Linked DNA regions of Caenorhabditis elegans. The protein of the gene in region 3 interacts with the protein of the main gene of each other region in a pairwise test. Each region holds a gene or a part of one and is shown on either strand. Other genes may lie near its edges. The genes, in order: chk-1, npr-21 and nadk-1.

Region 1 (10,173 bases), on a different chromosome or scaffold from region 3:
GACGCCAAGAAGGCCGCAGTTGAAATCAGGAGTCCGACCACTGCGCCACCTAGTCCAAAGCTTAGAAGAATCAAGGGACTCATGATGTAGATCTGGAGGTCGGTGGCAAGGTACCAAGATATGAAGTAGCACTGAAACGTTTTTATGATGCACATCTGAAAATGGCCTAAAACTCACGATATCTTTGGGGCCAACAATATTCTGAATATATAAAAGATTGACCCAATAGCTATTCTGACACGTGTCATCTACCACAGCCGGAGTCATGAACGCTGGCATATCAACCATGGATCTTGTGAACACAAATGTGAAGAACAAGATTGTGACATAGTACACCGGGCTCAGACGAGCAATTCGGTGCACGTAAAACATCAGCCATCCACCTGGAGAAAGTAGCGCGTTCCACTGTTTCTCTAGTTGTTTGAACCAGAGAAATGAGAGCAAGAAGGCCGAAATGAAGAAGAAGGTGTCCACCGAGAAGTAAGCATTTGAGATTAGGGTTCCCGTATAGGTATCCTTGGTGAAGTCGTATAGATCTATGGGGTTTGCTGAAAGATTACCAATAGTCTCGAGCTTTGGTGAATTGAAGGCTTACTGATAACCATGAAAGTGATCTCTGAGCAATGTCCGAAGATTACCCAAAATGTTGAAATGACCCGAATGCAATTGAGCGAAGTTACTTGGCCTTCCTGGAAATTTATTAATTGCAGTGTCCGGGTTCTAGTCTTCGTAATAGCATTAAGTTTCGGCAAATCGGCAAATTGTCAGATTTGAACATTTCAAGCAAATCGGCAAATTGCAGGGATTGAACATTTCAGGCAAATCGGCAATTTGCCAGAACTGAACATTTCCGGCAAATCGGCTAATTGCCTGAAATGAAGTTTTCCGGCAAGTCAGCAAACCGACAAATTATTGATTTGCCGATTTGTCGGAAAAACGGCAATTGCAGAACATTTTTGGGAATTGTGTTTTTGCACTTTTTTTTGAAAATTTCAGAATTTAACTTTTGATCGTAAAAATTGTGCGTATCCTATAAATGATCCTAAATCTATTTTGAAAAGTAAGCAAATTCTATGAAATTATCTAAAGAAAACGGGAAAAATTTTAAAAAGGCACAGTTTGAAGAGGTTCCGTCTCATAAAAAATTCCTCTAAAAACTTCCGGCAAATTGATGTTCGGCAAATCGGCAATTTGCCAGTAATCAAAATTTCCGGCAAATTGGCAAACCGGCAACTTGCCTAAAATCGAAATTTCCGGCAAATCGACAATCCGACAAATTGCCGATTTGCCGAACGGCAATTGCACTCCACACTGGCAAGTACTTTTAGTTTTATAAGCGAAGCGCCGTAAATCGACCCTGGCCGAGCAAAAATCGCCTAATTCCGCAAATTATTGCATTTCAAAATATGAGGGAAGTAGATCAAACCGAAATGGAACACTCCGACACCACGTGCATAAACCAATGTACCATAATGGGGTTTGATCTACAAAAAATTGGGAAATTTTTCGCACAGAAAAATGAGACGTCAGCACGCGAAATCAGAAATCAGAGCCTGAATTCCCGTAATTCTCGTAGATCAATGGGACCAGCACTGTCGTAGCACCATAAAATCTGACCCTACCTTATGACAATTCTTCGTGTTGAAAATCTCCTTCAAATTTCGATGAAATGAGAATGCGCTGAATAACTTCCAACCAAAACCCTCCTCCTTCCTCGTTTTGTCGTTCAATTGGAATTTTTGAAAAATATCGGAAAATCCTGATAAAATGCAGAGACCCACAATCAATGATAAAATGAGTCTGGAAGTTAATTTCTATGAAAGTTAAAACTGGATAAATTTTTTTCCTGAACTTACAAAACTATCCATGTTCCCAACGAAATTACTGGAACTCTCTGATTAACATTCCGTACACTGCACACTGGAGACAAGGCTTTACTGGGCCCCAGGGCTGTAAACTTTTGCTATTACTTTTTTACAGCCTGTGCCATTTTTACGAACCTTCTCTAAAATACCCCGTAAGATCCTCATTTCGACAAGACCAGGGTAAGCAGAGATCTACTCCAATTTGCGGGAGGTTACACGAGCTATTGAACGAGTTGGGGCGCATTTTCATATCGAATAAGATTCTGGAACTAGTTGGATTTTGCCGCACAAGTTGCAAAAACAGGAAATATGTAGGTACCTGTAATAATCTCCCTGGACAGTTCGATTTAAACTCGAGGAGAACATCTGAATGGATTTGCATTCCGAAAAAGCGCCGGTGCTTAGAATATGGCCTCTAACGATGCCGGATCCCAGTTTACCGGCAGCGTCCATCACTGGAAATTTGAAAATTTTAAGTCAAAATTTCGTTTGAAACTTAAATGTTTAGCTATAATACATCTCTTTTAAACAATGTTCAACTAGTTTTCTCATTTTCTTAGAAATTGCGGGAAATTTTAAATTCCGGCAATTCGCCGATTTGCCGGTTTGGCGAAGAATATATGTGCAAATGCGCTCTACTGAACACCGAGCATTTTCGGGCGCTTTTTAAGGAAAAAATGTTTGGCCCAAAACAAAATACTATTTTTTGAGAAAACTAATAAAAAAGTTACTGTTGTAATTTTTTTAATCTTTTAAAACTTTTTTCTAAATTTTTAAAATGATTTTTCAATTTTGCCAAAATAAATTAAATGAGATGTTAGGCTCCGCCCACTTTTTGGATATATACGTGTTTTCTGGCAAGTTTAACTGTTTTTTTTTCAAATTTTATTTGTGCTCCAGTTACGTGGCGTCATGTTGTCCCATTACGATTTGATCTACAAAAAATGCGAGAACTTTTTGCCCAAAATAATGTGACGTCATCACGTTCTTAACCATGCGAAATCAGTTGATAACTCTGCCGCATTTTTTGTAGATCTACGTAGATCAAGCCAAAATAAGACACTTTGAGACCATGTACTCCAATTTGAGACGCTACATGAGTGGGCGGAGCCTAACATCTAATTTCTTTTAATTTGGCAAAAGTGGAAAAAAAATCAGAAAAAATTTAGAAAATACTTCGAAAATTTTTTACGTTTGTTACATTTGGTGATTACGGTCTATTTTCTGTCATTCAGAGTAAAAAATTTGGATCGTGTCAGGACCCACATTTGAAAAAAAATATCTCACTGGGAATAAGGTAATCCTTCCGTTCCTGATCGGTCATTGATGCTGGGACCGCCGCCGTACTGTGATGCCGGGCATATCGTGCCGCATCGATTACACCGTAACCCAAAAATGAAAGCTCTTCGTGACATTCTTGAGAAATTGAATAATTCGCATTTGAGTGAATACCGAGGGCAGCGATTAGATCGCTGGTTTTGTATTTTTCCTGGAAAATGTCAGATCGTTGCGAGACCCAAAGGTGTCAGGCTGTCCCATAACGGTTTGATCTCCAAAAAAATGCGGGAATTTTTCCACAGGAAAGTGTGACGTCAGCACACAGTCTGTGTCTCTTCTTCCGCATTTCTCAAAGATAAAACCAAAATGGGACACTTTGACACCACCACGTGGAAAACGTAGAACACTCTTGATTTGACAAAAGTGCCAAATCGTTGCGAGACCCAAAGTATCCAGAAACCCACCAGCTGCTCCATAACCTCTATCGGGTGAGCGATCAGCTCGCCGAGCAGCTCCATAGCCTTATGTGGATCGAATTCGATACCAGAACTGCATTGTAGATTAGCGAAAATTATGAAGACTAGAAAAATGGCACGTAACATTTTGTGCATTATGAATTGAATATTCTAAACTCATCTTATCAGTGTTATTACGTACGGTTATCATTTTAAAAAGTTACAATGAAATGGTAAAATAACACAAAAACATGGGAATCAACACTGAAAATCAGAAATCTTGTTTTTTCGATAGATAAGGCAAACGATTTTTTCCGACAATCCGGCAAACCGGCAAACCGGCAAATTGCCGGAATTGGAATTTCCGGCAAATTGGCAAATTGCCGAAAATCAAAATTTCCGGCAAGCCGGCAAATTTCCGGCAAATCTGCAAACCGGCAAATTGCCGAGTTGCCGAATTTGATGGATAAACGGTTTTTAACGGCAAATAGGCAAACCGGCATTTTGCAGAAAATGAAAATTTGTGGCAAATCGGCAAACAGGCAAATTGCCGGAATTGAAATTTCCGGCAAATCGGCAAATTGTCGGGATTAAAAGTTTCCGACAAATCGATAAACCGGCAAATTGCGGGTATGTCGAATTTGCCGGAAAAAACGGTTTTTACGGCAAATCGGCAAATCGGAAAATTGCCGGAATTTAAGTTTCTGGCAAATCGGCAAATTGCCGGAATTGGCATCTCGGGCAAGTCGGCAAATGGCCGGAATTGAAAATTTCCGGCACACCGGCAAACCGGCAATCCGCGGAAAATGAAAAGTTTGGGCAAATCGGCAATCCGGCAATTTGCCGATATTGAAAATTTCCGGCAAATCGGCAAGCCGGCAATATTCCAGAATTGAAAATTTCCGGCAAATCAGCAAGCCGGCAAATTTCCAGAATTGAAAATTTCCGGCAAATCGGCAAACCGGCAATTTGCCGATGATGAAAATTTCCGGCAAATCGGCAAATCGGCAAACCGACATCTTGCCGATTTGTCGACCTTGTCGACAAAAAAAAGTTGCCGAATGTCATTAAATGTAGGCCCAACAAAACTGCAAATAATGGTATCTTTTCTGTAGTTTGTAGTCGATGACGCCATTTGTTGCAGCAGAAACAAAATCTTGGAATCTTCGAACTTTCTGGAATCATCTGCAGAAAAATTTTTGTAGAACTTTTGGAGACTTCTGGACAAATCTGGAAGTTCTGGAAAAATTCTAGAAAATTAGAAAAAAAAACTTTACTGTAAAATTCTGGAGAATTCTGGAGAATTCGGTGTCATTTCTGAAGAGAAAAATCCAAAAAAACACCGGAAAGCTCAAGGAATTTACAAGAAAATTGATGTTCTTTCTATTTTTTGGATTCGGATGATTCTGTCGATATTATTTTATTTATATTTTCATATTTCCCTCATTTCAATAATTTTTCGCCTTTAATTCATCTCAATAGTGTAAAATTCTATTTAAAAAACATAAAAACATATAAAACATGTTTTTTCGACAAAAAATTGCCCGTAAATCCACACAAATTCCGGCTCCGAGCGGGATTTCGGAGTGTCGTTGCGCGCGGTAAATTCGAATGCGGCAACGTTTTCTGCGGTTTTCTTGTTTTCTTGATGCAAAATTCTAAAATATTTCAGGTTTTATTCAGTAAAAAATGTAAAACAAAACGATATTTCTCGATTTTTATCAATTTTTACCCTAAAAACCCAGAAAAATCAAGGTTTCTTTTAATTTTTTTTAACTTTTCCTGTTTCAGTGGTGAATAATCCTTTTTATTTTCAATTTTTCAGCAGAAAATGTCAGCAGCGTCCACGACTTCTACGCCAGCAGCAGCAGCAGTGGCACCTCAACAACCAGAATCGCTGTACAGAGTCGTTCAAACGCTCGGAGAAGGCGCGTTCGGCGAAGTCCTCCTCATCGTCAACACCAAGAATCCAGAAGTGGCGGCGGCGATGAAAAAAATCAATATCGCCAATAAAAGCAAGGATTTCATAGACAACATTCGAAAGGAGTACCTTCTTCAGAAACGTGTGTCCGCTGTCGGCCATGACAACGTGATTCGAATGATAGGAATGCGAAATGATCCGCAATTTTACTATCTCTTCCTGGAATATGCGGACGGCGGAGAGCTTTTCGATAAAATAGAGCCCGATTGTGGAATGTCGCCGGTTTTCGCGCAATTCTACTTCAAACAACTCATCTGTGGACTCAAATTTATTCACGATAATGATGTGGTTCATCGTGATATTAAGCCGGAAAATTTGCTGCTTACCGGAACTCGTAAGAATCTTTTTTTTTTTTTTGTCAATTTTAAAATGCTTAAATTATCAAATTTAATCTTCCAGATGTCTTAAAAATCTCGGATTTCGGCATGGCAACTCTTTATCGGAACAAAGGAGAGGAGCGACTGCTGGATTTGAGCTGTGGGACGATTCCGTACGCTGCTCCAGAGCTCTGCGCCGGAAAGAAGTACCGTGGGCCGCCCGTCGATGTCTGGTCGTCTGGGATTGTGCTCATTGCGATGCTCACCGGGGAGCTTCCGTGGGATCGGGCTAGCGAGTGCGTTTTCATCGCGTTTTTGGCGGAAATTAGCATATTTTGATGGTTTATTTCACATTTTTCGGCTAAAAATGGCAATTTCTCAACGAAAAATGTGTATAAACGAGAAAAAACAATAAAAACTATTTTCCGACCGTTGAGACACCAAAAATCAGAGATTTTAGCTAATTTTTGACGAAATGAATGTTTTTTTTCAGCGCCTCTCAATCCTACATGGGATGGATCAGCAACACGAGCCTCGACGAGAGACCGTGGAAGAAGATCGACGTTCGAGCCCTCTGCATGCTTCGTAAGATCGTCACCGACAAGACGGACAAGCGCGCGACAATCGAGCAGATCCAAGCGGATCCGTGGTATCAGCACAATTTCGGTCAAGTCGAGACACCGAACGGGCGGCCACTGAAACGCGCTCGCAACAATGATGAGAATATGTGAGTTTAATAGATGGCTTCGGCCATATCTGGTGTAGATTTACGGCGCGTTGCGTGTCGCGTCGCGGCTCGATTTTAGTTGCGAAAAATGCAATGAGGAAGGCCAGAACCCCATTTAAATTTAAAAAAAAATCACAATTTCATGTTAAAATGCTCAATATATTCCAGCACATGCACTCAACAAGCCGAATGCTCCGCGAAACGTCGTCACTTGGAGACTCCGAACGAGAAGAGCACTCTGGCGGAGAGACAGAATGCTTCGTTCTCCCAGCCGACAAAGACTGAGGATCTTCTGCTTACTCAGCATATTGATATGTCGCAGACCAACTCGGTTAGGAAAAAACCGTCAGAAATTGGCGGATTTTTAGCTAAAATCTCCAATTTTTCGGTCGTAAATTGGCATTTTTGATAATTTTAGGATGAAAATTCGCTAATGACACGGAAATGGTTGCAAAATTAGAGGTTTTTGCTAAATTTACTTTTTTTTTTGATTAAAAAACCCAGAATTTAGTTTAAATCCCCCTAAAATTTTCAGAATCTCCTCCAACGAATGGTGTGCCGTATGACACGTTTCTGCGTCGTCACCGACATCCGTTCCACGTACCAAAAAGTGGCTCGAGCCAGTGAGCACGCCGGCTTCGGCGTTCGTGAGACTGACGACTACCGTCTACTAGTCACGTGGCGCGAGGTTTCGATGATGGTCAGTCTGTACACGATGGGCGATATTCCCGACAAGCCACGTGTCATGGTAGATTTCCGCAGGTCTCGCGGTGACGGAATCCAGTTTAAGAAGATGTTCATGGACGTTAGAAACCGTATGCATGAGTGGATATGTACCGACGGAAACAACTGGCTCGCCAATCTTGGATATGTGCCAAGAAATCCGCAGATAGTTAATGGTGGTGGAGTCAATGTGGAGCACTCGGCGTCCTCGATCAATGTGGATGTCTAATTGTTTTTTTTTGTTTGTTCGTTTTTTGTTCCATCAGACTATTGAGATTTAAAGCACAATATTTATCATCATCATCATCACTTTAAACATCTCCCTATCCCATTAATTTTTAAATTTAACGTGAATTAACGCCGAATTACAAGCCTGTGAATGAATGTTTGTTTTTATCTCTGCGTCTAGAGTTTGTCCCCACTGCCTCATCATTCCTCCTCTTTCTCTTTTCCCTCTCTCACTTTTGCACAATATCTCGCTGCCCCTCGCCTCCGTTCGATAGTCGTCAGCTGAGAGAGTGTCTGCAGCAGACAAGACAATTCTTACTAAATAATACGCACGAATATATTCTTATGAATTTTTCTACCCCCTACTGTCATTAGGTCTCAACTGGAAAATCTGGAATTCGTTTTTGTAGTTTTCAAAATATCAGTGGCGCGTCGTTCCCACTTAACAACTCAAAGTGGTTCGGAAACCCATCGGAGAAGAGGCTGACGAGCCAGCCGTTGTCCCGGCCAAGCGACAGAGGTTTGCAATTTAAAAAAAGCTAAATATGACGATTTTGCGATACTGTACCAGGTCTCAACACGACAAATTTCTATAAAATTAATGCAAAAGTGTGTGTGCGCCTTTAAAGAGTACTGTAATTTCAAACTTCTGTGGTTACGGAATTTTCTTATCGATTTTTCTTAGTTTTCCGATAAAATTTCGTATTTAAATTCTTTTTTTAAACACCAAAATTTAACAAATGATGAGAACAATTGAGAGAAATCGATATTACGGGAACACAAAATGCTGAGAATGCGTACTGCGCAACATATTTAACGCGCAAAATATCTCGTAGCGAAAACTACAGTAATTCTTTATATGACTACTGTAGCGCGTGTGTCGATTTACGGGCTCGATTCTCGAAACTGATTCAGGCCCGTAAATCGATACAAGCGCTACAGTACTCCTTAAAGGCGCACACTCATTTGTATTTATTGTAATGCCACAAGATTTTGTCATTCATTCTTAAAGGCGCATCGATTCACTCAGATGGGTCTCGGCGCGAAAAAAAAATTTTTTGGAGTTTTTGCGTTTTCTTTCATTTTTCTGTTAAAGCCGACAAGCAGGAAAAGCACTTATGAAATTTGTCTAAACATTTTACGAAAATTTAAAAAAAAAACGACAAAACTCGCTAAAAACCAAGAAATTTCATTGATAAACGCAAAAAAAAAAACTTTTAAAAAACTCTTTTCGCGCCGAGACCCATCTGAATAAATCTGGGTGCCTTTAAGCGGACATGTCGACTTCTAGCGAAATTACGATAACAAAACCTTCAATTTCAATCGATTTTTTGTAGTTTTTACGATTGCAAACATATCAATTTTTGCAAATCGAAAATTCCGCGGCACCTAAAGTTTTAGACTACAGTACTCTTTAAAGGCGCATACCTTTTGACAATAAACAAAACATTGTCGCGTCGAGACCAGCTACCGTATTCTTGGCGCGCGAAAATTGGCAAAAATTTCAAAAAAAAATTCCAGAATGACTGTCGACGAGCAACTTGACGATGTTGGTCGTAAGGGTAAGAAGATGTCTGTAGCACAAAGATTGCAGAATCATGCGGTAAGGGTCTCACAGCGACACGTGGTGTCAGGTTGTCCCGTTATGGTTTGATCTACAAAAAATGCGGGAATTTTTTGCCCCAAAAAATGTGACGTCAGCACGTTCTTAACCATGCGAAATCAGTTGAGAAATATGCGTCTCAACTCCCGCATTTTTTGTAGATCTACGTAGATCAAGCCGAAATGATACTTTTTGACATCATGTTCCGCGATTGAAATGCAACAAAAAAATTCACTTTTTCCAGCAACTATCCCCCAGATCTCAAGATGATCCCGAAGAAACCGAGTCGGTGATTCGAAAGGAAATCGCGTTGGGAAAATATGATAAAGCAACAATTCGAATTATTGCACAATTTTTGGATAATATCGGCTTGACGTAAGTTTTTGACCAGTTTCGGGTCTCGGCACGACATTTTTTATGTTGAATGAAAACGGGTGTGCGCCTTTAAAGTTTCTTTATCGATTTTTCAGAGTTTTTTGTAAAAAAAGCACACGTGGTGTCAGAGTGTCTCATTTCGGCTTGACGCAGAGTTCTCAACTGATTTCGCATGATTAATACCGTGCTGACATCACATTTTTTTGGGCAAAAAATCCCGCATTTTTTGTAGACCAAACCGTAACGGGACAGCCTCGCACCACGTGGAATTTTGGAATTTTGAAATTACGAAATTTTAAGGCGCATGTCTTTTTTCAATAAACAAAAAATGTCGTGTCGAGACCGGCTACCGTATTTTTGACCCATTTTTTCAGAAGCTCTGTTGAAACTCTCGTTGAAGAGACGGGCTTCACAATTGAAACAACGTCGGGTGCCAGAGTCCGTGCGAACATTCTCAAAGGAAACTACGACGCGGCGATTCAAATTCTCGAAACTTCAAATGATCACATTACTGAGGAGACCGCAAAGCATGGATCATATATTGTTAAATGCTTCAAACTAGCTGACCTAGTTCGGAAAGGAAGGGTTCGTGCTAGACTTGGCACATGGTGTCAGAGTACG
Region 2 (10,952 bases), on a different chromosome or scaffold from region 3:
AACAATCTGATGGAGGAGAAGATACGGGTTATGGCTGAGAGTCTTGGGTAAGTTTTCAGTTAGAGAAATGGCGTTAAATTTAGAAAACTGCCATAAAAACCTGGCTTTTTTGGAACCTAGAATTTAACTGCTAAAAATGATAGAGCATTTCCTTGCACCTATTTTTCACATGCATCAAAATGTATAATTTTTGAGTGCTCTTAAGGTAGAATTCATTTGCCGATTGAGCATTAATAACTTGGAAATCTATTTTTCGTAGCACCTGTTGCTTCAAGAAAGAAAAAAATCAAAAAGGAGTAGACCCACATATACTTCAAATTTTCTGAAACACTGTCAAGTTTCATGTTTTCTTGAAGAACCAAAATCAGTTCCACATCGGACCCTAGTTTGTAATAAAAATATTGTACTTGTATCCAAGATTGAGACGCAAACCTGTCAAAAACTAGAAGAGTTTACCGACTGCCAATTGCTAGAAAATAATCGCGTACTAAATATACAAAATTAAGAAAGTGAGCACCTACTCAATTTCTCTGAAATCTTTACACATTATTACATTTCACAAATAAATGAAAGTACTGCACAACATTTGTTTCTCGATAGACTAGTTTCCTTTTAAAAAAATTAGAAACCTGGTACGTTGGAGTCCGACAAAACTTATACATATTCCAACGTTATCCACTTGAAATTTGCCTAGCCATAACTTCTAATCGCTCAAAATTTATTAAAATACATAGCTCACTTTTATTTCCAGATGCTTGCACAAACAAACTTCTCGCGGATGGTCCATCAATCGTCAAGAAGATCTCATCATGGACTTTACTGTCAACGATGGTGAAGTGACAACCGTTGTGCTTAGTTTTTGGGAAGAGCCTTCATTCTACTCCCCAGAAGCTACAAGAATGCTCCAGTTAGGGATGTGGACAGAGCTTCGAAACCGAATCTCAGATATGCTGTTGACGTATGATAAGTTGTTGAGCAGGTATGTTGTTTGACTTTGAGCAAAGCAAAAAATAATGCTTCTAGAACTCACTCCCATTTTTCAGAGACGATCGTAGAAACTGCATGGGAGCTATGAGAATGCTCGAGATGCTTTTTGGACACTTCTCTCAAGACCCTTCCTACACTTCAATTCACAGATCCAACTATGGGTAACTTTATAATTATTTTTTTAATGAAAAATTTTAATTTTAGTTTCTACCTTCCACGTAATGATCTCCGCGCAGGGCGTGTATATTATTTGGCGGAACCACACTTTCGGAACATTCGCTCCAAGGATCATATTTTCCAGTTACAAAAGGATGATCACGAAGTTTTGCCATACTTTGAATTTTCGTTTGCCAAGCATGATAGCCCGTGTACACTTCCAGAGTTTGACACAAAGTGAGTTCATTCACATCTTAATATTATTGAAAATTGTAAATTTCCAGAGGCTGGGCAGAATCTATTGAAGCAAACGCTGTGATTTGTATGAAGCTATCCAGAGGGTTCAATCTTACTGAAACGACTAGAAAGAAGTTGGGAGCAATCAGTGCAAAGACTCCATCCGTTAAGCATTTCACAAATAGCTATCGCTACGTGACTGGAGCGGTGAAGATTGAGAACAACCTGCAGATGATTACACAGTTTGGCGATGGACAAACTCAACACTTCTACAATGTCGATGTGAACCAGTTGCGCAATGATGGTGACTCTGTGATCACTGAGATTTATTTGAAGCATTTGCAAGATTTTCATGAGGTAAGCAGTAGTAACATAGATTGTATTTTAAAAGCGCCAGTTTCATGATTCAATTAGCAAAAACATAAACATTTGAGTATCTTTTTTGTTTTGAGAAAATAAGCATACATGCTAATGCATGCTTTACATAATATGGACACACATTTTGCAACTTTCGGTTTTTTGCCACAGGGAATTATTGAACTTTGTGAGTCCGTTCAAATACTAGAAGTAGAAATATTATTTAAGACATCATTAACATATGTAGTCAGATATTCCACTACTCGATAAAAATAAATTATAATTGCAGATAATTGCAATTCTTCGCAACGAAGCCATGCATATCAGCCTTTGGGAGTCGATGATATCCGCGTGTTATGAGAAGCAGGGTATGAAAAAGCACACGGTTGCCGCAATCAAGATGGACGTTTTTCTGACAAGAGAGCAAATTGTAATCACCTTTGATACAAAATTTGCGCCGGTCAAAGGTGAGTTCTAGATAGATAAAGTGTTTAATATTAAGTAAATTTGCAGTTGTAATCCAGGATAGTGGAGTTTGTGAGGCAAAGGTGAATGTTGTGCATGCACAGACAGGCCTCCAGATTGCTGAAAAGATTGATGAAACATTGAGCAGAAAACTCAATGAGTAAGTTGAAACCGTACACTAACGCAAACGCAGGACTTGTTGCAAAGTTCCTGAGAATGTCAATAGCAGTTTTGGTGCCAACTCTTTGTCCATAGAACATCCTAGAGAAAACATTTGAAAATTTCAGAACTTGGAGCATTCCAAATATGCTTACCTACGCCGTGTCGGGTAGTGACTGCAACTTGGCAAAGATCAAAGTTCCGTTGAGAAGTGAAAACCCGGAGACTGTGGGCCCAATTCCAACTTATGCGGCTGGACGTTCCTTCTAACGGATTTTTGACTTATGATGTGTTTGTATAGTTTTTGTTTTATTATATACTTGAGCCTTATTTGATACTCATTTTGATTGTTGTGAATGTTTGAAATTAAGTTTTATATGCATTTGTATTATTTAAAATTTGCCATCTGAATTTTTCAAAGAGCTGAAAAGCAGAAAAAAATGATTAGAGGTTTTTTGCATGAATACTGAAAGTTGATTACTTAGGGTCAAAAATATCTTTAATAGTCAAACTGGGCAATATTTTCTTTAATTATGTCAATTGTAAGCTTGCTGAAAATATATAAAAGTAGCTCTAGTTGCCCAAAGACCTCGAAAGTTTACCCAAACAACTAAATTTCATAATGAGACTTTTCAAAGTTTTTAAAATATTTTACATTGCAGTTCAAAATTTCAAAAAAAAACTGTTCAATTCAGCTAAAATCTTCAATATTTATGTTTGTATGTGGCACATGGCCGGAAATCAATGTTCATTTAATGATCATTGAAATTTTGACCTTTCTTAAAAAGTTTTAAAACATTTTTGAGAAATCCGATTGCATAATTTTGTAATTTGGGATTAATATAATTTACAAACTCTGTTTAAGCATGAAAACCCAAAAAATTGATTTTTTGACAAATTCATTATTGACAGAAACTATATCCATAATTACGTATATGTTACAAATTTGACAGGAGACTGTTGTGGAAAGAAACGGTGATAGCATTATAAAGTTTTGAAAATCATGGGTGAGATCACAAAAACAGAACGCAATATGTGTGAGAATGTGTGAATAAGTGGGATTAGAATTTTAAAGCATGTATGTACATTTGTTATGAGTGATTATGATATTCGTAACCCGTCTCCAACTCCGAGTTTAACACCTTACGCCGCACTCGTGATGACTGCTCGATGTTGCTTTCACGCACCTGAAAGCTGAATCGAATAGAATGAAAATGTCTTGGCTGGAGAACATTCTTTACCTTTCCAAGATGAAATGTTTCTTTGATGCTTTGACGAAATCTTGTTGAAAGGAATGCGTAGAGGAATGGGTCGACGGCGGCATTAAAGAACAGAAGCAGGAAACTGATGGGTTGGAGTACACTTTGAAGGCAGTTCAAACATCTTGGCGCTGAAAAGTTTGATGTTTATGATCTTGGAACTTGGAGGTTCAGGTGGACGACGTGCTTACCCATCGGATCTCGCCAGACGGTCCACATAAAATATACATATCTCGGGAGTGAGAAGAACGCGAATGCCACGACGATTCCGACTGCCAAACGACCAACCTGAAGTGAAATTGAATGTCAGAAATATATCAACAAAATACTTTTTTGTTGAAAAATGTATGTTTATAAATTTTGTCGATTTTGTAGTTTGTAGTTTGATATTACTTCTGAAAATCTGGAGGCTTTCCTCACAGTGAATGACCCTTTTTTTTTCTGTCCCGTTAATAAATGTTCCAATTTTTGAACTGGTTTTAAACACATGTGCCTAGTCTTTTGATTTATACATGTACTTTTTTAAAAAGCAAGTTTCAAGCTAAATATCAAATGCTGCCCTATACCAAACTTTTGAATAATTCAACAAATTTCAATAACTTTTGGTTTTACCATATGGCTAAGTGTCATCTCTCAGAACTAAACGTTTGAGAAAAAGTGGTTCGACTTGGCACAAACAAACTGTGAACACATGTTCTGAATCTTTAAACAAACCTTTCTCCTCTTCTCCACTGACACACCGCCGGTTGAGGCTTCGGATCGCCAGCTTGATCTTGGCAAAAGCTTGTTGGCGGAGTGTTTCGTGATTGTTGCGGCCTTGCTCACCACGAGGCCGATGGTAGCGTAGATGCAAAGAAGGATTACTAGAGGGACGGCGTACCTGAAAAATTTTAAAAGTCAAAACAAAATATATATAGAGTTGACGAACGCACCAGACGATGAAGTTGATAGTGGCGACTAGCTTCAGGAGGTTGAATCCATAAATTTCCACATGACGTCTAGTGCAGATCTGGAAAAATCTTTATTTCGAGAAAAGGAACTTCTTGAACTAATTTGGTAATACTTCAACTAACAAAAGATCTTTAGAAAATTCTTTTAGAAAAAAAACAATGGCAAAGTTTGCATATTTAGCCATATTGTATCCAAGCGGTTTTAGAATTTTTTTTAAATAATAGTTTTTAGCCTGAATTTTTTCATACTCGGCTGTGGTTAACCTGTATGCAGGCAGGTAGGTGAAGTTACTTACTGTGTATGTCTCATTCCCGTCTGATATCTCTAAAAACTGGCTAGCCACTACATATGGGGTGTTCATAACTGCGCTAGCTGAAATTTAAGAAAACATTTCATTTCCACATTTCTTTTTAAGTCAGCTTACTTAGCCAAACAACAGCTGACGATGTGATGAGCACTTTTTGTGAAAATGCTCTTCGCACCCGCAATGGACGGAGCACCGCAATCAATCTTTCAACCGAGACCAGCACCTGAATATCAAAATGTTGCTTTTCAAAGATTCCCTACGTCATGATTGCCTACCAGAATTCCAGCCGACACATTTGGTATGAAGTGTAGTACGTAGATGTATGAATAACATAACACTTTGCCAAACGGCCACCGTCCATGTCCTTGGAATACAAAATTCACAGCGTTCTGGAGAACGCAGAAGATTCCGACAAAAAGGTCGGCAACCTAGAAATAGATTATTTTCAGAATAGGAGGTGAGTTTTGGAGGAGAGTTACCGTCAGATTTGCCAGAAAGAAGTTGGGCACACTTCGGACTCGTTTCTGCGAGAAGAAGACCAGCAGAATGATAAGATTTCCTGAAAGAATTTATGTTATAGCTTGATGGTAATTTTGTTCAAATTTGCCCATAGCTTAATTTCCTTTTTTAAAATAAATTGTTCAAGTTCTAATAGTTTGTCCTCTACCACTTACTATTAACTACGTACTTCTACCATATAATTTGAACCTAAATGTCGATTATCAGTTTAGTTTCACCAATTATTGCTCACTTCAATGTAATCTAATTATAGCCTACTGTTGATTCTGTCTTCTGATATATTGTCATCTGATATTGGATAACAAATCAAAAATGAATGTCATTGTTTGCTTGGTTGTGTGTTTGCCTAGCTACGAAAACCGTCCTAATGAGAAAATCAAATGAAATTTTGTCGCATTCACGAGTCTGAGTTAGAAGAAATTAGAAAAAAAAACAATTCGATTGTGAAGAAAAGGTGTGAAGCAGAAAATGATCTCTGGGTATGCCGGAGCATGCTTTAGGTTTAGAATGAATTTTGAAAGTGAACATCGAAAAACTTCGAAAAAAAACCATTAATATCTGCAATATTTAATATAATCATTGCAAAATATTTTCAGATATTAAAAATATGAACAAAGATCCTTGGCATACCGATTATAGTGGCCAGAAAGACAAAAAGGTAGGATACACAGAGCAAAAAGTGTACCACAGGATGATTAAGTGGGGAGTCGCTTTCCATTCGTTCTGAAAATATTCTGGTGAAAAAACATTGTAACAGTTTCTAAAAACGTAGAGCAGGTGAAAAGTTTTAAGTGTAAAGTTCGAATTCCAACCACACAAACAGAAATAACACTTTGAGAATAATTGAAAAATGTTGTGACGCAGGGGAGGAGCTAGAGCAACGAAAAAGAAGAATGAAAACGATACTGGATTTTCGGCCCTAAGATTTCAATGAATGATTAAAGATGTGAATGAGATGAAAAAAACGAGAATGAAATGAAAAAAGTTGCAAGACGAGACGGGCAGTTCAAAGAAGAACGCTTGAAGTGTTGTGAAAAGTTCACGAAACACATCTTCTTTTTGCCGTCTAATTTCCTCTTTTACTTTCCAAGTAAAGAAATTCGGGGGAATTCGGAAAAGAATTCGGAGAGAAAAGGAAGTCGGGAAGACACATAGATCAAGTGAATTTTTAAAAAAGCTCAAAGTATCCTAGGTTGACACCCACCACATCATTCTATGAATAGAAGAGCAGGTGGAAATGTTTCAGGGAATAGGAGGAAGAAGTTACGATGTCGTTCAGAGTTGACGATATGCACATAAAGTAGGCGGATGTCGAAAGGTGGAACTCAAAGATCGGAAGTGTACAAAAAGTCAAAAGTGAATAAGCTTTAAAGATAAAACTTGAAGTTGAATGCCAGCGGGATTTTGAAAAGGTTAGTCACCGTAAAATTAATAGTAACTTTCACACTTCATCGAAAAGTTATTTTTCGAATATAACAGGTACTCAAGTTGTAAATCGCGGACTTCCATCGGTGTCGGCTGCGCATTTAGCATAAAACCACACCCACGCAGGTTTACCCCCCAACTGTTGGTTATCTGAGAACATAGATTTAGCTACAAAGGATCACAGGGAATTGTCTGTTCAAGTTCAAATTTTCAAACTCAACCCAACAAAAGTGTTGAATGCTCAATTTTCACAAATTTGAACACATCCATTTTCGGAGTCAATTGCTCAGAAAATTTCTAAGTAATGATGCAACACGGTCCGACAACTACCGTGTTCCGCGCGGCGATGTTGAGAGCAACGCGAAACCTGGGAGTTGTTGGACTCAGACACGTTCGCATTTTTGGAAAATTCAGAGTACCAGAGCGAACATTTTAAACTAAAAGATACTATCCTTGAGCTCAAAGAAAATCTAAGAATTTAAGAAAAAAATTTTAATGAGGGCATTTTCCAAATTTACATATTTGCAAGTCAAACCAAATGGGAGAAAATTACAAGAAAAAAAAATAATATCACAAATTCAAAAAATTTCAAAATCTACAAAGAAAAATTGTTTTCTTCCAGCTCAAATCGCATAAATAATGACGTGAATTTCTATCCCAATTTTGCCAGTCATTACTAACCATTAGACACTTAATACGTGTGAGAACGCGCGCAAAAATGTTCATTTTCACGGGAATTGTTTTCTTGGAAATTTGTAAATCATTAAATGTGAATTTGAAATTTTAAACTAAATGTTTAATGTCGGAAAAATGTTTTTTTCGCAAATGATTAAAAAATTTATTTCGAAATTTTTGAATCAGGCTAGATGCTATGAACAGCCATTATCCTTTTGATTTATGATAAATTCTCAAAAAATCACACTCCAAAATATGAGAACTTTCGAAAAAAAATGGAGACGTGAATGAATTAGCACCTCCTGTTTTTGCCGAGCGTCTGCCTACAAAACCTGGCTTCTTCTTCCCGGTTGTCTAAGAATACCGAGTAATATATTTTGCTTTTCCGATGCTCAATTCAGTATGAATTCTATTACATCTACAACTCAGACATATTTCTGAAAACAAATTGTGGTTTGCAAAAGTAGGGAGCACGAAACTTTGAGCGAGTGCAATAATTGCCACTTCTTGGAAAAGACGGAGAACAAACTCACGGCTAATAGCAACAACAAATATGAATAATCAAATGAGAGAGTGAGATGACCAATGAAACTTCCCGGTAGACGTCTGATAGACATGGCAAAATACGAAACAGTGAGCAGAAACCAGTGTTAATATCCGGACCAGATACGTCATGGCACAAGTGGTAGAAAGGAACTATTAAAAGTCTTTATGTTTATATATCTAGCCTCATCCGGGGGTGTCTAGAAGAGGAGGGACTCTGTCGCCGACGATTGACAGACGTATGGAAAGAGGAAGTACATGACAAACTTGCAAGAAGTATACGGTTAATGTTATTAGACATAGTAAGATGGTGCTTTTGCTAACTTGAACTGCATTGCCATAAATTCGTAAATCTAAAAAATTGATGTTCAACCAAAAACGTGTGGCTGACATTTGATGGGTCCGGACTTACAGAAAACAACGTTTAACTTACTATCAGACTTTTGATGTTAAACTTTTTTACAAATAGAGGACTAAGGTGAATTAAGCAGCCCAGTTTTGTCTAACAAAACATTGTCAGTACGTATTGAAGCGGCTGACATATTACAATCTCATTTGTAACTCAAATTTTAATTTTCTAAAAGCAACTACAATGTATCAGAATTGAAAAAAAAAAAACAAACAGAACAGTTCAAAAGTGCGTGAAAGTTTTGGTAATTTGAACCAAGGCAAATGATGAGTAGGATATTTGAAATGTTGGTACAAATACTTTAATGGAACAAAGATGATGTTTTTGCAGGATTGGTGAATTAAAATGAAAATTTTGAATAACTAATGGTTTTTTGCTTTATTTGCTTTATTTTCGTTTTAGTTTATGTTTGGCAACTCATAAATTCGTTTAATATCCTTATTCGAAAAATTGTTTTATAGAACATTAGAAAAGTGACATGTTTGATATCAATTCAAAATTGCTGGGCAAAATTTGTAATAGTTATCAAAAGTTTTATGTTTTTTTTTGAAAATAGTGTGAACTCATTAGATCGAAAAAGTCTAGAGCTCAATTAAAAATTTAAGGTTCAACAGGGTCAGCATTTCGAAAAAAAATAATTGTTCTTTATACTTTGTCCGTTTTTTTCCTGCTCCCATTCATCCCTATCCCAGAAGTGTAGTTTTATTCAAAATGTCACACACGTAGCAAAAATAGATGAGTGGAAGAGGGAAGCGAGGAAGTGTGTTAACTTTATGGGGCCCCGTTTGCCAATTAAACCGAAAACGTGTGCAATTGAGGTTCTCGTGTTTCGGAAGAAGGGGCGAAACTGAGTAGAGAAAAGTGTCCGCACCACGAGCAAATAGAGACAGTTTGAATGTATAAATGGAAGAAAGGAAAGAGAAGAGACGGTCAAATGGACCGTACTGAAAACAGACAATAGAAAAGTCAAATGCGAGATGAGAATGACCTGCGGTCAATTCATACTTTTTGAACACCCCGAGTGTATAAATGCAACTTTTTCCGTGTATTCTTTGGGCTTTTCAATCTGGTAAATATTTGGTTTTTTGCACATCGAAACAGATGGGGTCTGGGGAAAGGCGAGCATAAAGTTGAACTCTAATTAATATACTTTCAATATACCGAGCAGGAACATGATAGAATTTGGAAGAATGTTCAAATTTTTGTGAATTTTTTGGTCTTTTCAAATTCCGGAATGCTTACATTTTTTTGCACAGCGAAAACAGTAGGGGACTAAGGTACGGTAGCGCAACAATATCAATAGTAAAATGAGCATGAATAGTAATAAAAATATTTTGAAAACTAATGTGTTCTTAGTATGAACATGATGAAGCTCATAACAACAGCATACAATAGTAAAAAAATTCTAAAATTGGAGAGCAGCTCCAAAAATACATATAAAATTGGAAAGGGTCTAGTTTTTACTTAATATCCGATCAGCCCTTTCCGGATCAGTTGAAAACAATAGAAATGAAGTTTGTAAAAATGAAGTGTATTTAAAAATGTGGTAACTTTTCAAGTATAGGTATCCGAATTAATTTTCTGGAACGTCACATTAACAAAAATAACTTGCGAACTTTCTTTCACCAAAAGCTCTACAAGTAAAAACTATACTTCACGTCGTTTTTCAGCTCAATATTTGAATTACATTATTTTAAAGGGGTTTCACAAAATAATTTCCGTTTTGTCGGGCGTGAAAGTGTTCTTAGAGTTTGAAAATGCGGCTTAAAAATGCAGTTTGATAGATTATTACAGCCTTCCACGCATATACTGACCAAACTAAACATTTTCTAGACTCCAAATTGCCAACAGACAATACACTTAAAAACTGTGAATTTTCAAATTTGAAAACCAAACATAAAACTAGCCTATGGAAAAATGTAATTGAACATGAAAAACAAAATCATGCTGGGCATACGCGTGATTAGCAAAAAGTTAAACCGCTATTTTTTAGGTAGTTTTCTATGACGATTTCTAAATTTATGAGAATAGTTTTACTCCGCCACAAATTTGTGTCGGGAAGATTGTAAATCAAACGGAGTGCTGCGACCATTTTGGCGGGTACATCGCAAACTAATTGTGCTGGCAAGCATTTAGAATTTATTATTTGAAAGTTGGATTTTTTTTAATTCTAGCTTGTACCAGCCAAAAAACAAAGCATCATTTCCCTTTCAACATTATGAATCAAGGAATACAATGAATAATTCCAGTCAACACTGTTCAAAAATTCTTGATTCCGATCAGTTCTAGATATCAGAGACACGTAAGCTTGAAACTTGATAAATTATTAATTTGGATTTTTCGGCGCCGCCAAAAAAAAGAAGAAAGAAGACAACTTGTTAAAGAAAAATGAAAATTGTGTCAAAAACCAAAACCAACAAAACTACGAGATATGTATGACAAAGAGCACAGATTCCAGAAGCGCAATGAAAATGAAGACCAACATTTGTCAATAGGGGGCACA
Region 3 (10,074 bases):
TGCAGCTTTCGTAATTATTGTGATTTCTATCCTAAATTTTGCAAAATCGCAAAAAAAATTCTTGATTTTTTTTTAGCTCATTCTGTCTTCTGTCATCTGCCACTAGACAATGCTTAAAATTAATAAAAAAATTTCCAAACTTTTAAAGTTTAGTAAGTAATACAAATAAACTATGTGCTAATGTCAACATACCTCTCAAGTTTCAAAAAAACGCGATCTCAAGTTTCAAAGTAATTTTATATTTTTTGTCCTTATTACCGGTGTTAAATTTGATGTTTCATACAATTTTTTGGCGAGAATTTCAAAATTTCTGATAATTTTTTTTTTCAAATTTTCAGCAAAAAATTTTAGCGGAGAATTTAAAATTTGTGAGAAACATTTTTTGGCGGGAAATTCAAATGTTCAGTGAACATTGTTTAGTGGGAAGTTCAATTTTCTAAAAAAAAAATTTCGGACACGTGGTGTCAGGCTGTCTCAATGCGGTTTGATCTACAAAAAATGCGGGAAGATGTTTTGGCGGGAAATTCAAAATTCAAATTTTCTGAAAAAAAATTTTTGGCGCAAAATTCGAATTTTCTATACAAACTCAAAGTTCACTGATCAAACCAGAACACACACTTTCTTATTTTCCGAGGTAGGAACTAGTTTTTTTGTTGTCATCTTGCCGTCCCCTATGTGAACTTGTGGAAATGCCCGAACACTCACTCTAAAATCAAAATTCGAAAAAACAAATCATCATCATTATTGGCAAATGACCTCCCTTAATTAGATGATCTCTAGTGAATCATGTGACTTTGTGTGATCAGTTAACCAATTTTTTGACCACTTTCTCATATTTTTTTTTTTGACTTTCTGTTCACTGAAGTGCTAGGAATTTGACAAAACTTTTTGTTTTTTTGTTTCTCACTGCTTTTGGGCCAAATTATTGTTGTTTTTCTGAAATTGTATCTTTTTTGGTTAACTTTCAGTTGAACTGTTGTTTTTTTACTATACATCTTGTTCGGCGAAACAAGAAATAGTAGTTAAAAGTGTGTGACTTTTGGGTTTCACAGAATTCCTTCTACCCTTATTACTTCAACGTCTTATATCTCAGCACATTTTATTTATATTAGAAAAATTTCAACTGCGAAATTATAGAAAAACATATAACACACACTTTGTTAGTTGAAGATATTTCGCTGAATCTGATAATAATTGACATACGAGCTGCCAAAATTCAGAGAGGCAAAAATCCTTCGATGCACCATGTCTTGCCATCTTGCTAAACAGCTTATATCTTGGTTTAAAGTTTATGTATCAGACATTTTTAAAATGCAAAGTTATAGAAAATTAAATGTGGGAAATAATGTTAGTTAGCAACTTTTTGACATCACCAACGGCAATCGAAATATAAGCTTTCAAAAGTTTTTGTTGCGCACCATGTCTTGCAGCCCCGCACTGTGCCTGCTGTATCTCAATTCAGTTTGAAGATATTTGAAAATTTTCTAATTTAGAAAAATACTAGATAATTATTTTCTTAGACAAAAATCTATCACCCAATTTCAAAAACTGTCTTGGAGGTCACTGTGCCAACACGAACTTAGTTTGAACCAAAAATCTCCACCCTATACTTTCAAATATTTTTCAAATCGACCAAAAAAACTAGTCGCTATGTGATGCGTGTGTGATTGATTTGATAAGATTTTCCAGGGGGACTATACGCACTTCGTCATCATTGATTTGATGCGATTTTCGTTGACAAGCACGCCGCGCGCAAATCTATTCCGCAGTTCTTCTTGATGCAATTCACCTTTTCGAAATCGTTTTTTTTTGTTGATAATTTAGTATTTTCCTTTAATTCTTAATTCCCAGAGCTAAAGCTTCCATGGTACGCAGGCGCGGTCTCAGGACCTGACGCCTGCCTGAAAAATGCTTTGCCTCTTTTCTGCCTCTTGGAGTGAGTTTTCAAATAGCAAACTTTCTGATTTCTATCATTATTGTTTTGAAAATCAAATTGTGAAAGGAAAAAAAAATTTAGGTATGTTTTAGCATAAGGCGCGTATTGAGGCGAGAGTCAGGCGGAGATCCGCCTTAAGGCCAGACAGGTAGGCGTTTTAACGCCTACACAGAAGACCTATCAAGAGCCTTTTCGGTGGATGCACCATGTTTTACAATTTATTCAATTTATTTTGTAGTTCCATCCCAAAAATTTAAATTATTTGGTTGAAATTAATTGTATTAACCGAATTTGACAAATTCGAACTCAAATTCCATATTCATTCAACTCGAAAAATTGTATGTTAGATCTTATAGACCACAAAATAACAACTTTTTAACTATTTTGTATTTCTCTCTAAACATCAGACAAGATGTGCCCAAAAAAGTGACAGTAGTCAATTAGTGCTTGTTTTGTAGTTTGTAGTCAGCCACGTGTCATTCACGTGTATTTTGGTCGTTCTAAACAAGACGCGGTCATAAAAATGTGTACAGTGATAACGATGATGACAACATCAGGTGAGACCGGGGGTTTGGCAAAAGGACACATCATTTAAATAAATATATGTACTGTGTTGGAACCGGTGGGATTATTGTGGACAATAAATAGATAAATGAGCAAATATTATTGTTTTGAGCAAGGTGACCACCGGAAGAAGGGTCACATGGCAAAACGACGTGGAGTTAAATGTATTTTTAGATGGCTTGAAAGAATTTCAAAAACTTCTATATGTAAATAGTTGAATTTTAAATATTTTCAAAATTAACTTTGCTGCAAGTCATGGTGCATCGACCAGAAAAACCTCGCTTAGCATTAATTTCGCTTGCCTGTGGTCTGATCAAAATTTTGTCAACTAACCAAATATCAAGCATTTTTCTAGTTAGAAGTTTTTCAATATCTTCGAAAATAGCAGAGATATAGGCTCCTGTGGTTGATTTGCAAAGCATGGTGCATCGATATCTCAGTTGTCTAGGGGGTTATCATAATTTTGTCAACTACTAAAATATTTTTCAAATCTTTTTCTGTAACATTGCAGTTAAACTTTTCTTGTTGTATTTTAAAGTAGCAAAGATATAAGCCCTCAAAGCTGTTCAGTTTTGTGTGGTCACAATGTATTACAATATCACAATGATCACTTCCATAAAGCCCTGCTGAAGCCCAGGGCACAAAATTTAGAAGGGTCAGGTCGCAATCTAGCCATTTGTCATCATGGCTACGCGCACACTCACACTGTGTCTCTTTGTGTCTCGGCGGTGTGCATGTGCCTTTAAATACCCCCTTTTGAATCATTCACGCGTTCTTTGGTTCTTTGGTTCTCAAGAAGAGCGGAGAGCAATCGCGTAATTTGTGCAGCCTTTTTGATAAGACTTCTTCATGAGTTACTAGATTTAAAACTCGAATTTTTACTATTTTCTTAATAAAAAACTCCGAATTTCCCCCATTCTCACCCATTTCTCTAGTCGGACACAAAATTTTGTGGTCTCCCGTGCTCTATAGTTTTTGGTCATTGGTCACATCGTATGTTTCGAAATCATCGCCGCTGTTTTTGTTTTGAAAATTGATTTTCAACGAATTCTCTTTGGTTCTCCCAGCATAGAAAACGGTCATTTTTCTTTTTTTTTAATTGCCGAAGAAAAAAATATAATGGAATCAGTGGAGGCGCAGACTGTTAGAAAGCATTTGCACTGTTTATTGAACGGTTTGGCGCCCGTTACTCAGTGGAAGTGAGTGGTATCAAAAAATGCGTTCGGTTGCATTTATAGTTTTATGAGATGAATATTTTGTAATTTAACAATTTTGTGATAAATTTACTTTTCGACGAGGTATAGAGGTTTTAGCACAAGCTGAATCCCGCAGCCTTTTAAAATCAAATTCTCATAACGTATTTTTACTTTTAACTCCTTTTAACTCCTTCGAAGTAAAAGTTATTCAACAGTTGTTAACTTGAGCATGTAGTGTTTTTTTAAGGCGGCTATAACTCAGCGGAGGTTAATGCTATGAAAAAGATGAAAATTACAAAAATGTTCAGTTTTATGTGGTAAATAATCTTTTAATGAACAATTTTGCGACAAATCAACTATTCGACAAGATACGGAGGGTGCTAGCTTCAGCCATTGGCACCCTACTTCTCACCACTAAACCTTTATGCTCCTGTAACTCAGCGGAGGGTAGTTTTATGAAAAAGTTCACAATTACAAAAATGTTCAGTTTTATGTGGTAAATAATTTGTTAGTTAACAATTTTAGGATAAATTTATTCTCCGAGGAGATACAAGGGCAGAAATTTCAGTAGCTCTCTTCATCGGCTCCCTTGCCGCTTCACCACCAAACTTTAGGCGCCTGTAACTAAACGGAGGTTACTGTTATGAAAAAGTTGCAAATTACAAAAATGTACAGTTTTATGTGATAAATAAATTGCTAGTTTAACAGTTTTTTGATAAATCCACTTTCCAACAAATTACAACGATTTCTAGTCTTCGACACTACTGCTCACCCTTCACCACTGAACCTCCAGGCGTCTGTAACTCCGCGGAGGTGAACTCCATTAAAAAGTTGCCAACTACGAAAATACGCAACTTTTAAAGTTCTATATTTTATTAGTTGGCATATTTTTGATAACTCCTCTACTCGTAGAGATATCACAGCTTAAACTTATACTCCTTATACTCCAGCCGATCAAAACACCATTTTTTCCAAAAAATTCCATCATGGCGTCAAGTATCATTTCAACACCATTTATTTACTTTGTGTCAATTCTCAATTCTCAACTTTCAATTTCTCCTCAAAAATCAAACATTGCGAGCACATCTGAGCACGAGGGGAACAAACCACCACCTCCCACACAATTTCTATTGTTGTAGCCTACCGGAACGGTGGGCGGCGCCCAGACGTTCGGAAGGCGGAGCCCCGTTTATTTATAAATCGGGAAAAATTTTTGAAATTTTGAAATTTTGGAAATTTGAAAATAATGGTGCCATTTGTGTTGATTTTTTGGCGAATTCTCGAATGACTTTTCGTGTGTGATGAGGCGGCTGAAAAAAAAACTAACTGATAAGCTTTTCTATCATATTTTAACCTTTTCTCTCTCTCTTTTTTGATTCCATTAAATATCCATTTCCAATTTCTAATAATTTATAATTCCAGCCGTCCATCATGGCCGCTTTGGCAATTTCTCACTGCGTGAGCCACGTGGCGCGCCCAGTTTCTCCGGTAACACAAGGAAAACCGAGCGGAAGCAGACAGCAGCCGGTGAGCCAAATTTCGATTTTAAGCCTTGTTTTGGAGCAAATTTTTAGGCGATCCGGTTTGCGTTGATCCTTCGAAAGAGCACACGATGGCAATGGGAGAAGGAGCAGACGGGCTTGAGCGATGCTGATCTGAAAAAGTGAGTTTTACAACCAAAGCTGCTCGTCGATGCATCACGTTTTGCATCTCCACTTTGAAAGCTCATATCTTTGTTCATTTTTAAGATACTATAGGCACATAGCTAAAAATAATTTTATTAGTTGACAGTTTTCTTTTAAAACCAAATACAACGAGATAAAAACTGTGGAAGCTGGTTCTAGTCATTGCACCATGTCTCACGCCATTTCTAAAGCTTGTAACTTTGTTCATCTTTTAGATACTAAAAAATTGAAACTGCAATAATGTATGTCCATGTCTTCCTCCACATTCAGAGTCCATATCTTTGTTCATTTTATAGGTAGTAAAAAGTAAAAAATTTTTAACTACAAAACTGTAGAAAATCAAATATTTAAATATTTTGTCAGAAAGCAACTTTTCGATAAACCCAAAGCCAAATGAGATATAAGCTATCAAAGCTGGTTCCGGTCGATGCACCATGTCTCAAGCCACTTCTAAAGCTTGTAGCTTTGTTCATCTTTTAGGTACTCAAACAATTGTTATTACAAAATAGTAGAAAAACATATATTTCATATTTCGCCTGTGAGCAACTTTTTGATAACGCTAAAACAGACAGAGATATGAGCTACCAAAGAAGATAATTTTCGGTCGATGCACCATGTCTTAAAGTTCATATTCAATAGGTTGTTTCCTGAATTTAATTTTAATAACATTAACACTATATAAAATATGTATAAGGTGTCCGGTCGATGCACCATGTTTTGCTTCACCTATATCCTATCATACAGAAATTTGGAAAATTATATTTAGGCTAAAAACCGAAACTGTGTATTTTTCCCATGGTGTCTGCAATTGACAAAAGTCTACTGACCTCATTTGAATGTAAAAATGTCTATCAGGCTATATTCCCAGCTACTAAATCTTTTCAGGCACCTCTCCTCAAAAGGCACCAAGGTTCAAGAGCTCCTCGAAAACGAGAAGAAACAAGTAAACGCAGTGCAGGAAATTGTCTCCGAACTTGGCAAAGCAGGCATCTCCACAAAAGTTGTGACTCGCGAGCAGCTAGCCCAGTACCTGCCTGAAGCTGATCTGGTGATCTCTGCCGGTGGTGATGGAACCTTCTTGGCTGCAGCTTCCGTGGTCAACGACAACACCCCAATCATCGGTATCAACACTGACCCGATCGGAAGTGAAGGACACCTGTGTGTCGGTGGCAAGAATCCACCTCGCGATTTGATCGAGCGTCTGGTCTCTGGAAACTTGAAGTGGGTGCAGAGGACGAGGATACGGGTAACAGTAAAGGAATCCCGGAACTCGATTTTCTCATTGAAGAGGTCTGAAAAATCAACAAACCTCGCCCTGAACGAGGTGTTCATCGGAGAGGATGAAGCCGCCAAAGTCTCAACCTACAATATTTCCATCGACGATTCGCAGACAGTCAAGCAAAAGTCCTCCGGGTTGATTGTGTCGACTGGGACCGGATCGACGAGTTGGTACCTCGGAATGAACAGGATCGATGAGAATGCGACGACGTCAGTGTTGGAGGCACTGCAATCACTTGGCGTGGATGTGCCGATCACAAGGAATTTGGTGGAGAAGGTGGTGAATTCGGTGAATGAGAAGATCCCGTTCGAGCCAGATCATCCTAGTGAGTTTTTTGAAAGTTGATTGGAATTTGGGTTTGTTGAGTTGGAAACAAAATGTCAGGGGTATTTTTGATTACACAATTCCAAATATAAGACCCTGCACAGACATGGAAAAGGACTGAGAAAAGGACCCCATGGCTGGCCTCATCGTCAGGCTTCAGAAAACTCAAATTTGAGAATTTCTCATTATCTCACTTTCACTTTTAACTTTCCAGGTTTCGCCTTCTCAATCCGTGAGCCGATCTTCAACGCCACCTACAAACGCACGGCGACCCGCGGATTCGCCAGAAAGATCAAACTCGAATCCCGATGCACCAACGGATACCTGGTCCTTGACGGATCCACAAAGATCCCGTTCCCACGTGGCGCCGTCGCCACGATCGAGGTCAATCCGAATGATGCTTTGAAAACTGTGATTGTGTAACAATGATTTTGTGTGTATTGTTTTTATTGTACGGGTTTTCGGGTTGTCGTTTTTTTTGTGAATTATGAATTCGTAATTGTACATAGATTTTATACGATTTTATGTGATACATCAATTTGAAATTTGAAATTAAAAAAAAATAAATTCATTACTTTTTCATAACTGTATAAAATGGTCTCAAAAATGTGCTTCAAATGCACATTTTCTCAAAATTTCAGAGATCCATCGTTGCGAGATCCTTTGTCGTGGTGAGACCCCCCGTGGTGAGATCCCCGCAGTGCGATCTATCGTGGCGAGACCTATCGTAGCGGGACCCATCGAGGCCAGACCCTCCGTGGTGAGACCCATTGCAGTGAGACCCTTCGTGGTAAGACCCATTGTGGCGAGACTCCCTGTGCTGAGACCTCGTTCAGTGCTGATAATCTGATATGAAAAATCTGAAACCATACAAGCTGAAGTCATTTCGCAACCCCAGAAACTAAAAAAACCACAAAAACCATTTGAAATGCGACATTCTTTATTAAAAAGCTCTCTAATGAGTCTTGTAGATCTGCTCTGCCTGCGATGGCGCTGCCTCGACAGCCACCGATCTCGTTGGGCATGGACAGTAGGCAGCGTCTCCACCTGGCGCGGCATCCTCTCCCGGTGCTCCATCGGATCCATCGACTCCAGGAACTCCGTGTTGTCCTGGTGCTCCTCCGGCGCCTGGAATTCCATCGGCTCCCTGCTTTCCGTTCTTTCCATTGGCTCCCGGTGGTCCAGGTGGTCCACGACGTCCACTGTTTCCTGGATGTCCTGCTGATCCTGGAAGGTAGGTTTGTCCCTTGGCTCCCGGTGGTCCTCGTGGTCCGGCTCTTCCAGGCTTTCCTTGATGTCCTTGTGGTCCGGTCTCTCCTGGTCCTCCTGGGGATCCTGGTGCTCCATTCTGTCCGTCTTCTCCTGGGGCGCCATCGGTTCCCGGCTCTCCTGCACAACCATCTGGCCCTGGTGGTCCAGCTGGTCCTGCTGGGCAAGAGATGCAAGCTCCTCCAAAATTCTCCTTGATTGCCGCAGCATATCCAGGATGTCCATCAGGTCCATCAAGCCCATCTGGTCCGTCAAGTCCTGGAGCACCATTTGGTCCACGTGGTCCAGGTGGTCCTGCTGGGCATCCCTTGCTCTTGGCTCCACAGTTACACTGAGCGTTTCTCTTATTTCTTCCGAATAGCATGGCGGTCACAGCGGCACGGGAAGCTTCAGGGGCTCCGTTCTTGCGGAGCAGCTCCTCCCAGGCGTCATCAGCAACCTCACGAGTTGTTCGGGACTCTTCCATCACGTCGTTGTAAAGCCCATTGATGTCGGAAACGATAAGGCACATCGTTGCCAAGGATCCGATTGTGAGGACCGTAGCGGAAGCACATGCTAATGTCCCGAAGGCGCCCATCTGAAATGAAATGGTAAGGAATCAAAAATTGTACTGAATCAAAGTTAATTGTTTGCGAGGAAAAGTAAAAGTCGGAAAGTTTTGCCAATTCCATTCTTATCAGGTGCCATTATATACTAACCCCCAGAAGTTCCGCCTCTTTACTGCGAATCCATGATAAGAACCGGTTTCAAGACGGTTTCCATGGGGAACCTATACGCAAAAAATGTCTTGCTGTAACCGTGATAAGAGAACAGAAAGAGAAGGGGAAGTTGGATTGATTGGAACAAATTTCATTGTTAGCGAATAGAAGAATTTTTCAATTTTTCATTGGGCATTTGTATAACACGCAGAAATTTAAAATTAGTTTACTTAGTTCTGGAAACTTCATGGATCTCTAAAATCCAAGGCAATCTACTCATGGTGCATCGACTTCCTCGTTTTCTGGTGGTCATGGTGCACTGAAGTGAGCTCCAGATGGGGATGCACTAGGGTTTGGAATCCCCGAAGCATCCGACACCTTTCGGGTCATTATACAGCGCGTGATGGATCCAGGGATATGTCGGCCGTTTTATGTGTCCGGAATAATTGTGGCCGCTTAATTCATGGAGGTGCCTGGCACTTTATGCTTCGATATCTCTAAAGGGTTTGCAGCAGACAACTGCCGGGATTGTTTAACATCTTTAAGGACTAAGCAGCTGACACCTTGCGGGTTTTGATAGAACGGCATCTCTGGTGCTAGTAGCGGCCGACACTTAAAGGGTCTATAGCAAACGGTTGGCCTCTCCTGAGATCACGCAGGTCGACTTTTGCCGGGTAGATATTCAAATAAACGTTTACAGCAACAGGTAACAGCCGACACTTGGCGGGTTGAGTTTATTTTTTCAGAGATTATAGCGGCCGACACCTAGCGGGATATCACAGAGCAGCCGACATCTGTTCTAGTGGAAGAGACATCCCCAGTCATTAAGCAGCTGGCATTTGACGTGCGCGTAGACAGAACCAGCAAATTACCAGAGGCTGAGTAACCGACACTTTCCGGGTGGAAAAAAAACATCTGAAGAAGTTTAGCAGCCGACACTTACCTGGTTATAAAAATGGATATTAAGGATTCTATCAAAAAATGTCGAAAAAACAGAGAAATTCTTCATTTTCAAACCCGTACATAATCAAAATAAGCATTTTCACAATCATTTGGAACATCGGAGCGCAGTTTACAAGTTATGGACGACGTTGGAGGACTAGAATCACATGTACAACAAAAT

What was found.
Region 1: the proteins of nadk-1 (region 3) and chk-1 interact in a two-hybrid assay, tested with the Caenorhabditis elegans proteins (one large-scale study listed by BioGRID).
Region 2: the proteins of nadk-1 (region 3) and npr-21 interact in a two-hybrid assay, tested with the Caenorhabditis elegans proteins (one large-scale study listed by BioGRID).

What each region holds. Positions count from the first base shown.
Region 1 is NC_003283.11:3,754,720-3,764,892, reverse strand, and holds chk-1 (Serine/threonine-protein kinase chk-1), read left to right. Parts: upstream 1-5,423; 5' UTR 5,424-5,429; coding exon 5,430-5,913; intron 5,914-5,978; coding exon 5,979-6,192; intron 6,193-6,389; coding exon 6,390-6,623; intron 6,624-6,791; coding exon 6,792-6,954; intron 6,955-7,158; coding exon 7,159-7,575; 3' UTR 7,576-7,740; downstream 7,741-10,173. Other genes in the region: oac-55 (Nose resistant-to-fluoxetine protein N-terminal domain-containing protein), read right to left, coding at 1-131, 178-548, 596-689, 1,623-1,800, 1,857-1,950, 2,001-2,134, 2,185-2,320, 3,153-3,354 and 1 more; gid-7 (CTLH domain-containing protein), read left to right, coding at 9,097-9,177, 9,422-9,552, 9,927-10,137. UniProt on the Caenorhabditis elegans protein: Serine/threonine-protein kinase which is required for checkpoint-mediated cell cycle arrest and activation of DNA repair in response to the presence of DNA damage or unreplicated DNA.
Region 2 is NC_003284.9:17,151,843-17,162,794, forward strand, and holds npr-21 (G-protein coupled receptors family 1 profile domain-containing protein), read right to left. Parts: upstream 6,127-10,952; 5' UTR 6,116-6,126; coding exon 6,028-6,115; intron 5,438-6,027; coding exon 5,358-5,437; intron 5,307-5,357; coding exon 5,154-5,306; intron 5,102-5,153; coding exon 4,996-5,101; intron 4,944-4,995; coding exon 4,867-4,943; intron 4,630-4,866; coding exon 4,553-4,629; intron 4,501-4,552; coding exon 4,335-4,500; intron 3,909-4,334; coding exon 3,812-3,908; intron 3,798-3,811; exon of another isoform or gene 3,752-3,797; coding exon 3,603-3,751; intron 3,549-3,602; coding exon 3,453-3,548; 3' UTR 3,246-3,452; downstream 1-3,245. Other genes in the region: mdt-1.2 (Mediator of RNA polymerase II transcription subunit 1.2), read left to right, coding at 1-47, 752-979, 1,044-1,148, 1,192-1,380, 1,428-1,737, 2,027-2,204, 2,251-2,362, 2,490-2,631.
Region 3 is NC_003282.8:1,451,957-1,462,030, forward strand, and holds nadk-1 (NAD(+) kinase), read left to right. Parts: upstream 1-5,118; 5' UTR 5,119-5,127; coding exon 5,128-5,223; intron 5,224-5,270; coding exon 5,271-5,359; intron 5,360-6,266; coding exon 6,267-6,985; intron 6,986-7,198; coding exon 7,199-7,407; 3' UTR 7,408-7,565; downstream 7,566-10,074. Other genes in the region: col-106 (Nematode cuticle collagen N-terminal domain-containing protein), read right to left, coding at 7,940-8,830.